Linked DNA regions of Arabidopsis thaliana. The protein of the gene in region 2 interacts with the protein of the main gene of each other region in a pairwise test. Each region holds a gene or a part of one and is shown on either strand. Other genes may lie near its edges. The genes, in order: ADS1 and AT3G15780.

What was found.
Region 1: the proteins of AT3G15780 (region 2) and ADS1 interact in a protein complementation assay, tested with the Arabidopsis thaliana proteins (one large-scale study listed by BioGRID).

What each region holds. Positions count from the first base shown.
Region 1 is NC_003075.7:14,366,685-14,371,736, reverse strand, and holds ADS1 (MATE efflux family protein), read right to left. Parts: upstream 2,861-5,052; 5' UTR 2,590-2,860; coding exon 991-2,589; 3' UTR 542-990; downstream 1-541.
Region 2 is NC_003074.8:5,339,349-5,343,318, reverse strand, and holds AT3G15780 (uncharacterized protein), read right to left. Parts: upstream 1,964-3,970; 5' UTR 1,886-1,963; coding exon 1,675-1,885; intron 1,111-1,674; coding exon 968-1,110; 3' UTR 762-967; downstream 1-761. Other genes in the region: MBD11 (methyl-CPG-binding domain 11), read right to left, coding at 48-110; AT3G15770 (uncharacterized protein), read right to left, coding at 2,103-2,156, 2,241-2,307, 2,386-2,476, 2,565-2,836, 3,072-3,076.

The DNA.
Region 1 (5,052 bases), on a different chromosome or scaffold from region 2:
GTTTATATTTGTAACAACTTTCATTGTTTTTCAGTGTATGATTTTTGTCGACAAAAAAAAAAGTGTATGATCTTATACAATGTACATTCTCAAATTTCACTATGATAGAATGAAATGGAAAAAAAATATCTATAGTGAAGTTTACATAACATATTTTATCGTCAACTTTAAAACTTTATTTTTTATATAATAAGAATAATAAACTAGAAACCATACCCATCGAAATGCAGAATTATATGGATAAAATAATTTATGATGAGAATAAAAATAAAATGTAGGAATAATTTATGAGATGATGCAATACAATGGTCCTTGGGACTTGATATCTCTCACTCACTCTCTCTCTCATCTCTGAACAAAACAGCACTCTATAGTCTATAGGGAATCCAAAACATTCATTCAGACCTGTCTGAATCTTTGAGACACAAGTTTTTGTTTCCCACAGGGTTGCCACTTTTTTCCAAATTACCATATTACTCTCTTTCCTTTTTTTATCACCCATTTTTTTCTATTTATTAGTAAGATTTTTTCCTTCAAATAATAATAAGTCTCTACAATTCAACAGTGAATTCTTCTCTCCATATTATCTTATTAACTTACAAAAACATTTCAAAAATTATTTTGAATTAATTCTCTGTCGCTCCAGCTATATGGTCCCAACATCTTTTGTCTCAGATTGGGTGTAATTAAATGTTTAGTTGTGAGCAAAAAAAAAATCATGTGATTATTTTTTTGCATTCATGTGAGTTTATTCAAGTATTTAGCATATGTAGTAGTTTATAAAAAAAAAACTCATAGATACTCCATATAAACGGCCAATCATAAGGGCATCGGAAAAAATAAGGAGATAAAAAAAAAGAAATTTTTAAGTACAAAAAAAGAAGAAAATGTTAAATTTCTCAAAGAAAGGCAAAACTTTCTCCTTCTATGGAAAAGAGATGGGAATAATTATGATGATTATAATTTTGTTTTGTTTTGTCTTAATTAATATTAATAAAGCACCGTGATGCGAATCAACGGCTCAGCCTCATCGCACTCACCGTCTATAGTACTCGCCACCACCGCCTTAATAATATCATTCTCTACAGTCTCAGCGCACGTTAGCGTCTGCGCCTTCTTAGCCTCCGATTCCCAATCTGTGGTCCCCACCACGTACATCATAAGACCTGCGCAGCTAATCTGCGCCGCAAGTAGTCCTACCCAAAGCCCATTAAACCCAATTCCGGCCCAAAACCCGAGACCCACTGCCACCGGCATGCCCACCAGATAAAACGCTCCAAGGTTCACGTTCGCCGCCGTTGACGGTCGTGCTGTTCCTCTCACGACGCCGCATCCCACCGTCTGAGGACAGTTTCCGATCTCGCATAGACCTAATATCGGTAACGCCGCCGCTGTTAGCTGGAGTATCTCTTTGTCTCCGGTGAAAATCCTTCCCCAAGCGTTTCTGACTGAGTAAGCAAACGCCGCCGCTATAATCCCTGTAACCGCCGCGAAAACGATAGCCACCGTAGCCGTTAGCTTTGCTGTCTTGGGACGGTTGGCTCCAAGTTCGTTTCCGACTCTAGTTGAGACAGCAAAGCTAAGAGAAGACGGGAAAACATAAAGAAACGACGTCGTCTGGATCAAAACGCCCATAGCAGCCACCGTCGATCTTGGATTCACGAGCAAACCACACAAAACGATCATGATCTCGTACCACCACCATTCCAAACACACGGAGACACAGCTTGGTCCCGCGAGACGCAGCAACGGAGCCCACCCGCGGAAACAATCACGGGTCGGGTCAGTCCATGTAGGCGCGTGAAGACCACTCGCCCAGACGTAGCAAACGAGGAAAGCAACGACGAAGATGTTTGTGATGGAGGAAGCGACTGCTACGCCGGTTAAACCAAGACGGAGGTAAGAGACTAAGAAAAGATTAGCCGGGAGGTGAAAAACAGCGCCGGAGAGAGAAGCTAGGGTTACGGGGTGAATGATGCCTTGAGCACGAAGGTAGATTCTGATTGGATGAAGAAGAGTGTTGGTGAGAAGATCAGGTAGGGAGAAGATGAGATATGTCTGAGCTAATTTCGCGATGTCGGGGTCTTGGTGAAGGTAAACCGATATTTTGCCGACGTTAAACCAGAGAACCGAGATCGGTACGCAACAAACCAAGAGAAAAACCACGGTTCGATGGAGGGTTAGGGAAAGGAGTTTGAAGCGGTGAGCACCGAAGGCTTGAGAACAGAGTGGTTCCATACCAAGAGCTAAACCGGATAAAACAGAGTAACCGGTTATGTTAGCAAAGGCAATGGCGAGTGAACCGGCGGCTAATTCGAGGTCACCAAGTTGACCCAAGAAAAACATTGATACGGCTGAGCGTAGGTAGAGGACAAGAGCCGTCACGGCGATCGGAAAAGCTAACGTGAAGAGAGATTTCGCCTCTGTTACAGCTTCTGCCATAAGAGGAGATCCTCTGTTCTCACAATGCCGGAGATTTCTCTTTGTGGGTTCAAAGCTATTGATCGAGAAGAGATCGAGGAAGAGTCCGGTTCGAGATTCTTGGTTCTCTGAACCGGTGGTTGTTGTTGTTGTTGATGGGTTACACATGACGGTGATGATGATGATGGTGTTGATGAAGAAGAAGAAAGATTTGATCTTTAATGGGAAAGAGAAAGAGTTCTCTCGTGAAGAGCTCTCTAATGAGTATGAGAGGTTTTAACAACTGAGAAAATTGAAAGGAAAGAGAGATATGAATTTTTTTTGGTGCTGCTTCTCTCTTCTCAGAGCTCTCTCTTACCATCTTAATAAAGGAGTTGGCAGGATTTTTTTTTTCTTCATTTTTAATTTTTCGAAATTTTTTCATGAAAAAGAATCTAAGCTACTTTTTTTTTGTATATTTAAAATACTTTTAGAAGTCACTTTATATGGATAAATACATTAATAGTAAATTGACAATGTATCAACTTTTTTGATACATGAATGATTTGTGACATAAGTTGGAAAAAAATCAACTAAAATCAAATACTTACCCAAATGTAATTTACTGGTGGACCATACACAAAGATGCTGTATCCGATACGTATTAGCAAACTATAAGAATATACGTATCAAATCCGAAATTTTAGAAAACCTACTAGCTAGGTCAAGGGAAAAAAATTAAGAATATATGACAAAACTTTTTAATCTTATGAAAAAAGTGGTTGAAAGATATGAGGTTAAATTTTATTTTTGGTCAATTAGACAAAACATTGTAGAGCATCCAATGGTTTGTACTAATATTGCTGTTGTATCACAATCTATATTCAAGATTTGTGAGTGTAGGTATATATGGCTTATTAACCCACATATATGTATAACAAGTTCTTAATATATTGCATAGATCTTGGTCAAATCCAAGCTAGTTAAGTTTAGTTCAATACTACTATACTAGTGTTTATGGTCTTGAATACTTTGTAAAATCAGTAAAGGATAAGCAAAAATAATCTAGGTATACTAAAATAAAATTATGAATTAAGATAGACAAGGCCAATATTACAGTACATCTTTTATCTAAAGACAGTTCAATGTAACGTCTAAATAATTTAAAGTAAGTAGATTTTGATTAGCATATATAGTACAAGTTCATTGCACGTGAACTCTCGAATCCTTTTTAAACGACCATTTGGCACAAAAAATGTGTTTGCATTTACTTAACTTTGAATTTCTTTTTAATTTGTCTTCTTCTTATTTTTAATGTGTTTGTTTAAAATTCACGAAAATGTCCTTGTAAAATTCTTTTTGTTTTAAACTATTTTGTGCTGAATTTCTTATACAAATAGAATTTTATCTCTGTTAAATACACTATTTTTGAAATAGTTATATAGTTAAATATAGTATTTGGTAAATTATATTGAATTTTAGAATAAATCAAACATATATTATTATTTTGCGAAAATATTAAAATGATATATTTTTTCGACCAAAGTAAAGTCCAAGGCCATAACCTACCACATGAAGTTATGAATCAAACCATGCTTAGCGTCGCTACCATTGTTTACTTACTAAACCAAAACCGAACGAAGAGTCGAACTAGATATCTTATCAAAACTTGAATGCAAATCGGTGATTTATAATTAAAGACCCAACACTAAAATTAATGTTTCGCTTGACTCTTTAATCAAAGCTTGAAAACTATGGTTTACAATTAATTTAGCCGTTATTTCATGTTTTGTCTCCATCCGGTGAACAAATTAGACTTAAACAGCAACTTAAGTCCCGGATACATCTTCGTAATGGTTTGCATATTAAGAAATGTTTGTAATTCACAATGGAGTTTAAATCTCCAGCTATTAATGGCTTTTCTTTGACTAAATAACCTTCCAACCAATATTAAATGAAAACATATAGCAAGTTTCTTATAGATGAATTAATTATAAATAATATATAGATTTGTAGTAATGTTGACGATTGCATAATGTTATTTTTTTTTATAAATACAGTTGGGGGTTGCTATTACATAAATTAATATGATAATTTATGAAGAGATAAATGGTAATTATATAAATATTAAACCGGGTTGTAAAAGTATATAAGCATAGACAGTACTATATATATCTACATATATACCTATCGTTTTGTAAACTATTTATACAATCATTTGTGGGTTATAATTTTTTTTTTTTTTGTTAAATGGGTTATAGAAATTTTCCGTCGATAAGATTTGAAACAAAGAGATAAAATAAGTAAGGCTCCTGTGAGCGTTCACGGCATAGAGGGGGCCTCGCCCTACTAAGCCTCTGATTTTTAAAATATTCTCCATTCTTTCATTTTGAAACGTTCCAATAATCATTTCGAAAATAATTCATATATCTTCACATATAGTTTTCCCTCTAATAAATGTTGTGCGTTTAAGATAAATTAATTTTACATTAAATACAAATCGTTTTAAAGATAATATGTCACTTGTATTATAATTAAACCATATAATTAGTAATCACATTGATAGAATTAGAAATATATAGTGTATTGGTGTGGTTTCGAAAAGGTACGATCACGCAGCAGTTAAACTTGACAATGCAATAGTACCAAAAC
Region 2 (3,970 bases):
CATATACAACAAATTCTAAGTCTTTGTATGAAACAAAGAAAACAAACCAATTTCTTCCATGAAGAAGGTGCTGGTAGCTCAACAGAAACAACTTCCTCTTCACCACCCATCTCTCTCCTTTCCCTTTAGCAACCCCTGAAAACAAATTAGAAAGATCAACCACAAAATGCCAAGAAAACAAAAACAAAAAATTTAACAATTTACACGAATGAAGCAACAGACAACCTAGGGTTTGATTGTCGGAAAGCAAAACAGAGTTTAAAATTTTAGGGATTTTGCTCTGCTCTTCTTTTTCTCTTTTGCTTAACACTATGGTTTTAGACCTTTTTTTACTACCAGAAACACACAGAGTATATGATAAAGTCACTTGGAGGTAGCACAACAACTTAACTAACAACCCAATTAAGTTTAACCACGTGTCTATATCCAGTGATATAAAATGCGCTCTATCATCTATATTCTATGGTAACAACGACACGTTAAAGCCTTGATCAAAAGGTGTTAAGTCGACTCGGATGTTCGCATTTAATGCAGATTTAGACTTACTTGGTGCTCATGCAATACACGTGCCAAATAGTTAACGACTTTTCTCCATTTTGGGGGAAAAAAACTCTAATGGAGTATTGCTTTGGAGTCCGGTAAAACAGAACGTTACTGTGGTTTAAACTCTTTAAAGCCCATAAATTAGGCCCATTCATGTCTTGAGTCCTATTGCTCAACGACGCCGTTTTTTAAGCATGATCAGATGGAGACTGGGAAAGAATCAGGAATTGAGTACTATATATCACTAGCATTAACCAAGAAGATAACACGATCTTATTGTTTCCTATTATCATCTGAATAAGTGATGTACAAGGAAGATGCTTACTTGGTGAAGTTTATACAGGTAATTTGATCTCTTTGAAGTCTTGATATATATACAGTATAGAGTAGTAGATAATCACCAAAGCCTCTTCATATATGGAAACTACTTGAAACGTGAACCCTTCTTGCCTTTGCCTTTACCCGTCCCATCTGTGACTGTAACCCAGAAGAAGAGAAACATCCAAAAGAACACTGCGAGGAAAATCTTTACGCGGTCTTGAACCCTTGTCACAGCTCCCACAAGACCTTTACAAAGAGAAAAAGAAAACAAGAGTATTCATTTCACTTAGTATCAGTCATGAGTGCAGTTTTTTCTATTTCCAGCCTATCCTTCTATGTTATAAAGGAATCATCACCCAAGCTATTCAACATAACATATGGACTAATTGCAGAACCAATGAACATACAACTACTGCACAATTTTACATCTTAAGAGAAAATTTAGAAAATCCCCACATAAAATGGTAGCCATTTTGAATCATAAGGAGTAAATTCCACAATCCTAATTGCCTAAGCCAAAATCATGTCACAAGATTTGAACTTTGGTTCCATGGACACAACAACTAATTGGATGAAATCATCCTCATGTTTTGGAAGTTTCATGATACAATAACAATCTCAGCACGATTCAATACCAAGTACTAACCTAAAAGACTCCATACTTATATCAAACTATCGGATAAAAATTGAAACTTTCGACCCAAAACACAACAGTTAAAGTGAAAACTGAAAAGCAAGTACAACAAAGACCAACCAAACAAAGTAGGATTCAAAGGACCAAAATATCAATCTGGGCAAGAAGAATCGAACCTTCTAGCTGAGTGGTGTCCTCAGGCGGAGGCGGATCAGGGCCTGGAGGAGAAGGAGGACCACCAGCGACGGCGAGGCGGCGTAAACGGCGGGGACTCGCTAGTAGGACGGTGTTTCGACGGTGAAGGTGATACGGCGGTGAGAACGGCGAGAGAATTGAGTAGTGGTAGAGGTTAGTGCTTGTGGTCGGGTTGGACAAAGCCATCGCCATTTTTCCTCGACGATAAAATTAAGAACTCATTTTTATTTAAGGGGTTTCTGATTCAGACATACACGTGTACGACAATTTAAAAAAAAAACATTTTTGTGGAAATTACTCCAAATCAAGAGAATTTTATAAAATTTGATCCATCAACAAATATTTTTTGTTGGGTGTATATATTTTTCTCAGCTCTCTTTACAATTGTAAATGTGTAAAAAAGAATCTTTTAGCCGTATAGACCTTCTTCTTCCCAAACTTCAACAAGAAACTGCACCATTTCCTGCAATGATAAAACTTTCAATAACAAACAAAATTTGGATGAGAATGGATAGTTACTTCCTCCAGTTCATGGAGTTGAACTTACATCAAGAGGTATAGGCCTCGGAAATCGCTTGTTGCTCCCAAGTAGACTCTCATAAGTCACATTCTCACTGCAAAAACAATCAAACTGTTTATATTCCACACAACAGTTGGACTCTTCGAACCATTAGGTCTTATATAATCCTCACTTTAGAATCGGTTCTCGACCAACGCTTTTACGGCTCTCGGATCTTTTATCTCCCACCCATTGCTGCCGAGTTTGATTCCATAGCACAAGACCTGTAACACCCCAAAAAATTCTCCAATTATTTTTCAAATGCTCAATAAGACCAATCACCAATCATACTCTTCTCACTCACTGACTCACCATGGTTAACAAATTCAGCAGGTTCATTAGAGCTGGAACCACATCCTTGAGAATCAATAGTCAGATTGGTTGTACTGATTGAAGAAACACTTCCGTGAGCATTGCTTTCCATATCTAAAGTGGTATTAGTCCAGAAATCTTCAGAAGCTACTACACTAGGCTTCCTCAATTCACTCCAATCTTCTTCTACTAACACATCTTTTGTGCCATTCAAAGGCACATCTACACTTGTTTTTGCTTTCGACTTATCAAAACAAGCCAAACAACTACTGCTGTGTTACAAAATCATTAAACATATCATTCATTTTGTGTAATAGCTAAACCAAATCATCATCCAAACAAAAACATCATCCTTATATCCAAAAGCTTATTCCTTCAAAGCTCAAATCTTTATGAATACCCAAAGCTAAAAACTTTCGAATTCCAATGGCCCAGATTAAAAAGATAACATTTTTCGCCACAGAATCAAAAACCTTATACAACCTTAAAACGAGTTAACTGACTTACCCCATCGTGGAAAGACAGAGACTTTCTTAGATCATCAAACGAAGAATCGAAAGCAACCCAACAAAACTTATCAATCGATTGGGGAAATGATCAAAGACCCAATCGGAAGAAGAGAAGTAAAAGGAAAGACGATTTCTTTTTTCTCTTTTCTGGGTTTTGCGTGTATCTGGAAGTTTCGGATACTTCATTTCGAAGAAACTTGAAAGAAGAAGTGCCCGACCCCACGTATAGCCCCAAAACGACGACGAGCCATGTGTAGAGAGTGTAGTGGTCGTGTGGAGTTATAAGGCTTTGGACCCTACACTTACCTTATCCACTTTTGACTGCTTTGGCTCCTTTCGACTGTGTTCGGTTTTTTAGATCCTTCCTCGTTTTGCCATAATTGAAGACAATAATGTATATTCGTTCTTATAGGTTAATTTGTTTCTTATAAAGAAAAAACTAATCGGAGGTTAAACCCAAGGGTGATAAAAATTATGTTGATCTTGTAGATTCTACTTTGTTATGTTGTATAAATGTTACATGCTATTATACTAGTGTATTTTTTTTTTTGTAATGGAGAATCTTATACCAATATGGCGATATCCATTGGCATTGAAACAAACATATCCACTAAAATTCTAAATTCGTTTCTTGTAAATAAAATCACAATAAAGTTTGAAAATTCAAAGCGGTATGGTGATAAAAGTTAGGTGGTGTTTTTGGTGGTCATATATGTAATAATTAAAAACTTATGATTACGTGAGCCATAAGCAAATTATAACCCTTTTAAAGAAATGTTAGGACAAGAAATAACTTATTCAAAGAATCGAAATAATTAACTACGTGCAATTTGGACCATTGGTTTGTTATTTGTTCTGTTCATATTGGAAAGCTTTTGTTTTCTCCCATCCACCAAG